Linked DNA regions of Bombyx mori. The protein of the gene in region 1 purifies or fractionates together with the protein of each later gene. This does not show direct contact. Links are inferred from orthologs where the notes say so. Each region holds a gene or a part of one and is shown on either strand. Other genes may lie near its edges. The genes, in order: sterol regulatory element-binding protein cleavage-activating protein and sterol regulatory element-binding protein 1.

Region 1 (3,836 bases):
TTGCACGATCAAAAAAACCAAGATTATGATATGTTATTGTTTTTTTATTAAAACACATAAACATAGAGAATTTAGCCAAATCAAAAATCAAAATTGTATAATATGTATCTTCAATAAAAATCTGTTATTCCAGAACAAATTCATATTTTTATAGTAACAGCGGGTGATAATAATAATTATTTTACCTAGTTATTGATGCCTGGTATTTATTTTTGATAACACCTCATTATACAGTGAATTCAGGAAGAAAATATATTTGTCACAAGCCGATAGTTTCGTTAAACCCGCGATGCTTAAGAATCCATTTGCTTCTAAAAATCACATTGTAATGCATAGAAACGCTAGTAAGATATCGGTCATGATAATAGCTACCGTTAAAGGGTATATAGTACATACATTTTAAAGTAGGTCAATCATTTCTCAAAAACGTCTCATAGTTCTTGGTCTGTACCATATAATGATTAGACATGAGAAGACCACCATTGGCATGTTAACATAGACACAATGATAATGAAGACAATAAGATTTAAGGGAATGGAAATTCGTACGTCGTGTCTTTTCATACAGTTGTACATTCATTGTGTGGGTCAGTATTCTGAGCAGACTATCAATTTATATAACTATAAATTTAAAAGCAATTGATTATAAAAGACTTTGAAATAAAAGTTAGTCATTTTATTTAACCTGTGTGAGAATTGAGTTACGGCATTATCACATGTCTACACCCACATACTATGTCGTCTATGAGCGTCTTACCTACAGATGATTCATTACACACTAATAGATCTTAATTAAATTCATATTTTTATAGTTTGCTTCTACATTTTGCAGCACCTACTTCTCAGTTGGACCTTCTATTCAATGAAACGCAAAGACTTCCATATATTTGGGCAAAGGACAAACCGCTACTGTATGTTCAACAAATCATTTTAAAAATTGGTAAGTGCATATACATTCAATAAAGTATCTTATTCTTTTTTTATTAGACGTTCATTGAACTTTTGGGGATTCACTTTCGTCCAGAGCTTTATTTGGACTTTTAAAGTGGTCTAAAAAGTATGGTCCAAGTTATTCAATATTAGTCTTTCTTTATCTTTTAGCTTTGACAAAGTATCTCCTGTATGAACAAGAAGAGGTGTTAAGATTGCAAATATTAGCAGCATTGGTTCCTTTTTGTCTGTCGCTCGTCAATACGACTTCATGACTCAATGGGGGGTGGCGACGTGAACGGTTTTGCGTCAATCAGCTATCGCATAACGCTGTTTCGTTGGTGTCGTCTTACTAAAACTGTAGGGTATATCCAAGCTGTTTGTGTTCCCACGTGGGCTATCGTCAAACATCATATCGTTTGTGTGACGCGAATCAAACACGCATTCAATACGGATGAGACACGAATCATTGCGTGAGCTTGGGCGCTCGGCACGCAAGACACGCCGTGAATTTATCAACTCAACCAAGCCATTAGTGGGTTTAGCTAGAAATAATAAACCGTATCATTAATCAAACATGAACGAGTCGATAATTAACGTCTACATTTTATTGTTCCTTGACCTTAAAAAAGTACACCAATAATAAATACTATTATGGATCATTATAAAATATGTAAAATGAACAGACACAACAAATACTTTTTATTCACGTTGAAGAAATGTATCGTTGCTTACATTGATTTTTTTTTGACTGGTGTTGTCAGCATTTCACAATGTCATGCCTCCTTGATGTTAAGGGTATTCAAGAGTATAGACGAACTACATACTTGTAACTTCAAGGAACGTCTGAAATGTGTTCAAGGAATGTCTTAGAATGATATTCGAAGTGTTAGGTTATGATATGTTTCAACTTACTGTTTATTTTGTCCCAATCGTTTGACAAATAAAACTGATTTGATAATTTTGAGGTCGGAATCGAGGGCACATACTCGTAATAGTTTTAAGACGCAAAGTCTTCTATGGTCGTAAATACAATTCACATTGCATACTTTTGGTTTTAGTATGCCAAAAATCATAATAGTGTTATACTCGTATATTTACATAAACATACATCGTCATGTTTGGTTAGTTTTACGCCCAAAAAACAATAAATATAATTTTGATTGATTATAGTTATTTTATTACATTGACGTATTAAAAAAAAACAAATTGCGTTCTGATATTCCAGGCGTATCACCATGGAATTCGAATTTGAAAATGTGGGACGCGTTCCGGGCTCCAATCCAAGAAGTGTTCCGGTTGTTAGAAACCATCAGAAATCACGAAGATCCAGATTTGTGAGTCATCAGTTTCGTGTTACGTCAATCATGTTTCATGTAAATTTTGTCAAATCCGGCACCCTATGTGGGTTGATCTTTGATTTGACTTTGATTCAATCGGTACCAAACAGGTTAGCCAGCCAAGGCAATCAGAATATTTAAAAAAATAATAATCAAGATCTTGCTAGTTGTTTTGGAGTTTGTATGTAACATACACACCCACGTCAACTTTATATACATAGTTAAACAATATTCTACAATTTTCTTTCTGGTCGTTTTTCTAATTGTACGTTCGAATCTGAACAACAACAAAACGTAACTCTCGTACATCTTTTAAAGTTTAAATAGTTGTTTGTAATGTCCTTAAATACCTCTTCAAACGAGGCTTTTAGAGAGTACTTAACGGTAGGCAGCGGGTTGGCTGTGCCCCTGGCATTGCTGGCGGCGGTAACTACTCATCACTAGGTGGGCAGTACGCTCGTCCAAAAAAAAATGTAAATTAAAAAAAAACTTTAAGGCACTAACAAGTTTTTTTATTGCTTTGATGGGTGGACGAGCTCACAGCCCACCTGGTCTTAAGTGGTTACTGAAGCCCATAGACATCTACAACGTAAATGCGCCCCCCACCTTGAGATATAACTTCTAAGGTCTTAGTATAGTTACAACGGCTGCCCCACCCTTCAAACCAAATCGCATTACTGCTTCACGGCAGAAATAAGAGGTCCCACCACTAATAAAATGTTGAATGTTAATCATATGTTTCCACTAACCCCTACTCATGTGAGTATATATCGGTTATAGACCTAAAAATTTTAAACTTATTCTACTTTAAAGTGTTCCCAACTAATTCCTAGGTACCTACCGTACTAATCAGCTGTTTCTATAATGCAAATACTAACAAATTTGATATTAAATTCAAATAAAGAACGTTTTGTTAGCATTCATACTAATTATCTACAGAACGGCGTGATGACATTGAGCTGTAATTAAAATCCAAATATTTGATTTTTTATTTTACATCGACGTGACATCACACTGATTTAGAATAATAGCAGTCGCCACGTTCTCCGACTTTTCACTGTTATAATATTATTATAAGACTCGAACAGGAATGTACAGAATTATATTATTATATTCTATACATTGAAAAAAAAAATGTTACATTTAGGTGTAATATAATACCCGATTCAAACATTATGTAATGTTTATGTAATGTAATATAATACCCAATAAAACATTTTCCTCTGTCTTTTTTTATTGAGCAGCGCAATATCTACTAGACTGATTTAAATAAATATTTATCTATAACATCTTATTAAATCTTATTAAATTATACTAGTGGTCTCTTTGTAGTCGAAATTCCATTATAATTAATTGAAATTATACGTTTGGACATTATTATGGTTCTATTGTCAAATACTATACTTCTATAATCACAGATTTAGCCAAGACCACACTATAGACAAATAATATTAAAGACAAACAATATTAATCTATTCTCAATTTGACCACAGACTAAAAGTTTGACAATAAACACGTATATATGCGTGCGTGTTAAATACATGGTAGTGTGTGTTATGTTTTTTTA
Region 2 (4,409 bases), on another chromosome or scaffold:
ATATTTGAAAATAGAATATTCAAGTTATTGTCAGTTTAATTAATCGCTAAAAGTAAGTATATTTTTAGTAAAAGAAAATATTGTTCTTCAAGCAATTTATATAATCAAATATTATGCAAGCAAATATTATGCACGGTAAAAGTGCTGAAGTGAAGATTTATGAAAACATGTATCATTCCTCCGTTCCATTCATCATCATGTATCATCAATCATTCCTTAAGTTACTACGACTGTATACTGTCAGTCCTTAACATAGGTAACGAATAGCAGTGAGAGTACTGAACAGTGCTCGCAGTGTAAATCGGAGCATAGCCTTCACTGCAATCCAGCACACTTCACTCAGTTTAAAACTTCTATATTCATACTATTTCCCCTTGCTACACTAGCGCTAATTCGGTGAGTTTTCGAACTATAATTTGCTGTTTACAGATAGACACTTTTTCAACATGTCCCTTAAACAAGATGGTGCTCCTTACCTCTACCCTCCATATGTCCCACAAATGTGGGATAATGTGAAATTGCCACACTAAAAAAAAGCAGAACAAATAACAACAATTACCTACTTCAAAATGTGTACCGTACTTAAGTAGGTACTGTAAATAACACTTTTGAGGAAATGTTCTAAGGCACTTATTTTACCGGAAGCAAACAGTACGGTACCGTATGTAAAGAAATTTAATGGACCTACAGTTTCAGACATTTGTTAAAGTAGTAGTAATTCTATTTTTCCAACTGGAAAGGCAAAGGTATGCTGCCATACTGCCTAATCTTTTGTAATTTTTTTATATAAGAAATGAAATGAAATTATGTGATGAGATGATATGGGATGAAACATACTCTTAGTAAAATGGTGGTTATTTACTGAGATTTTATCAGTAAATAGCCACTGGAGTGCTTCCAGTGGATTTTTTGGAGGATCCCGAGAAGCTACGTTCATCGGCTTTGTTTCATTTTGACACATCTCTGCACTTTCACAGATACTAAACAGTTAATAAACTACCGTTATTAAACATTTAAACCCAAAGAAACATTAAATATACAAAATAAAACAACTCAGACAACTTCGCTCCTTGCGTTCCCGCCAAAAATTTCATTTGATAAACTCTTTTGTCTACATAATGAATTCATTACTAGCCCGTCGTAACGGGCTCCAGTAATGAATTCAAACTGAATTACTGTTAAATAATCGAGCTATTTATAGCTAAAGATTACACTGCTTAAAACAGAATATCATTCTGTTGTAGTATACAATAGCTCGGAACATTCCCAAAAACTTGTTACTCACAAGCATACATCATACCATTTTATATTTGCTCATATCACTTTCACATCCTAGGACAATATCAACATTTATAAGAATGTATGTAATTTTAGTTTGGGCGATAATGGTAAATGCGTGCCACACTTGCAATTTTCATTGCATCTCTCTCTTACGCCAATGCTTATATTAGTTTGTGTGGTTTCTGGTGAAAATTTGGAGATAATCTATCTGCCAATGTGCGGCATACTCTGGGCCGGTGCGAATGTAAAATATGCACCCAGTCTAAAACTGTGACGTAAAATCGGACCACAGGATAGCTCTCACCGATTGGTCGATGGAGAATCATCAGATAAACGTCAAAATAATGCCAAAATTTGTAAATAAGAATAATTTCCAAAAACACCTAATTAAATTCTTGTTATGGTTTTATGGTTTAAGAATTGTTAAAAATGGATATTGATCCTTTTATGAATGCGGACGTTTTCAATGTCCACGACATTGCAGAAATTGAAGGCAAGTGTAATTGCTTATGACTATTGCGAAGTGTGAACACGATAAGCAATACATATATCAATTTAATGTTATTTTACAGATTTTTTAAATAATTGCGATGGGGATTTTATGACAAAATTAGAACAGGAACTTACTTTTGTGGACAATACAAATGAAACAGGGCTGTTGGACATTGATACGAAATGCAAGCCTGAAATTTCATCATCTCCACAAGTTTCGCCGAATTATAATCATACCGGGAATCCAGTGATGTCACAGCACACGCATAGAATTAGGCCAACGCCCCCGATCAGTAAAACAATACAAGGTGGATATATTAAAGAAGAGAAATTCAATTTGCCAACATCCCTTGAGAATGCGTCCGTGACGTTTCCTGAAGTTATACCACAACAGAGGACTCAAGTTCAAAATCAGCCGATGATTTTTCAACAAGTAGTACAGAGCCCCGTGTTTGTTAATTTGGGTCCGGCTGGAAATATCCAACCTATGCCTGACAAAAGGTCAAATGTCATTCAAGTTGATAATGTTCCACAAGTAAATAAAACTAGCCCCCTAAAACAGCAGAGTCAACCTCTACTGATACAAAACAATCCCAAAGGTGTACCTTTTATATTAAAAAGTTCTGATTCTAATTTCTCACCAGTGTTATTGCAGTCGAATATCATTAACCCAAAGACACAAACGTTGATGTATACCAGTACTCCATTACAGGGTAAGTACAGATTGTGGTAAATTCTTTTTTATTCTGATGTTATGATAATGATAGTCAAGTTTAAATGGTTCTTTTTCTCAATCTTGCTAATATATCCAGTACTGGTTTACCATTGCACATTATTCAAAAAATGTAGTCAACAATATACAGTAATTGTTCTTTCCAGTTTCGAGCACAAACCAAAATATTATTACAAATGCAAAGGCAGGATCGGAGACAACACCCATACACACATTTTTTACAAACAGTAACGGTACTACTTTATTGACGGGAATACCTGCAGTTGTACTAGAAGGTGATAAAATTGCTTTAAACCCTGCACCAAACATTGGACCTCCAAAAGTGAAAGAAGTGAAACGCAGTGCTCACAATGCCATTGAAAGACGTTACAGAACTAGTATTAATGATAGAATAGTGGAATTGAAGAATATGCTTGTTGGTGAAGAGGCCAAGGTAACCAGTAATACTTATTTTTAATAACAATTAGTTTGAAAAGTTGAATTTCTTGTTTAATTTCCTCATATCCTGTTTACAGTTGAACAAGTCAGCAATATTGCGTAAAACAATTGAGTACATTAAGTATTTGCGAAGTCAGAACACTAGGTTAAAACAAGAAAATATAGCTCTTAAACAGGTTTGTCAAAAGTCTGGAGTTAAAGAGCCAATATTTGAAGGAGGTTATACTCCACCACACAGTGATGTGTCATCACCTTATCATTCTCCACATTCAATTGACAGCGACACACCTTCTTCACCAGAATACAAGGTAATTTTTTAATATAGTATATTACTACTTAGCATAATATTCCAATTGGAATATCCTCTGAAGTATAATTTTTGTGTAAGATTTTTTTTCATCTAAATTGTTTACATATCTGAATTTGTTATTAAAAGAAGATATTTTGTTTATTAAAGAAAATTCATATTTAATTTTATGAATTTGCAGACTGAAGATAAATACTCAAAGATAGTAATGGGTATGGGTGATCATTCACGACTGGCGTTATGTGCCTTCATGGTTGGGCTTATTGCTTTCAACCCATTTAGCACATTCTTTAGCAGTTTTACAACAGAGTATACAACTACAGATTTCAATGCAAGAATTGATCAAAGAAAAATTCTATCAGAAGATGATTCAAGTTTGTTTTCATTTAATATTTTATGTGTATCTTATTATGAAAATCAGTTTTAAAGAAATAAGCTTGATACAAAAAAGCGTAGTTTTTGAAATATTGGTTTAGGAACAAAAAAAATTGCAACTATAAAAATATATTAAACTTTTTTTCAGGTTATGAAGGATCATCTTGGGCGATTTGCGTTTTTAATACATTCTTTATATATCTTGTTAACTTTGTAATACTCGGAGGCTGTTTGGTAAAGTTACTAGTTTATGGAGATTCTGTACCAAAAAGTCAGTCCAAGGAAGCTGGTTTATTCTACAAACATAAAAGGCTTGCTGGCAACCATCTTAAAAAGGTAAGTGAATCATAATTTAATTATACCTGAACAATGCATTTCATTGCTGCTTTGCAAATAAATAATAAATAAATAGTTAATTCTCGATCCAATTTATATCTGAAGTTCATACTTTCATACAATGAAAATAAATATGTATTCGTTAAGGAATACAGCTACTAATACATTGTTCTGTTTGGAATATAGTACAGTACAGTGTCCGTATCCTTTCGTCCCTTTTAGCATTATGTAGACAGGGCATTTTTACTAAATCTAGATTAAGAATAAAATAATTTGTAAAACATGTATAAACTTTATTTTCAGGGCGATCTAAATAATACGCGACTAGAACTCCATCGAGCATTGGAAGCATGTGGAAGAAGTGTCCAGGCAGGTGGCCCAGGTCAAGCTAAGTACACGGCCCTCACAGCGGCTGTGCTTCGGCAGTTGCTGCAGAGATTACCGTTC

What was found.
Region 2: the proteins of sterol regulatory element-binding protein cleavage-activating protein (region 1) and sterol regulatory element-binding protein 1 purify together in Homo sapiens (affinity purification with western blotting; 4 studies listed by BioGRID and IntAct, with this or other methods). This does not show direct contact. The link is inferred for Bombyx mori from reciprocal best matches to the Homo sapiens genes SCAP and SREBF1.

What each region holds. Positions count from the first base shown.
Region 1 is NC_085107.1:13,867,060-13,870,895, reverse strand, and holds part of sterol regulatory element-binding protein cleavage-activating protein, read left to right. Parts: intron 1-831; coding exon 832-939; intron 940-1,515; exon of another isoform or gene 1,516-1,775; intron 1,776-1,844; exon of another isoform or gene 1,845-2,122; intron 2,123-2,157; coding exon 2,158-2,266; intron 2,267-3,836. UniProt on the Homo sapiens protein: Escort protein required for cholesterol as well as lipid homeostasis.
Region 2 is NC_085119.1:8,265,526-8,269,934, reverse strand, and holds the start of sterol regulatory element-binding protein 1, read left to right. Parts: upstream 1-1,550; 5' UTR 1,551-1,710; coding exon 1,711-1,774; intron 1,775-1,853; coding exon 1,854-2,486; intron 2,487-2,652; coding exon 2,653-2,939; intron 2,940-3,021; coding exon 3,022-3,252; intron 3,253-3,432; coding exon 3,433-3,625; intron 3,626-3,774; coding exon 3,775-3,962; intron 3,963-4,265; coding exon 4,266-4,409.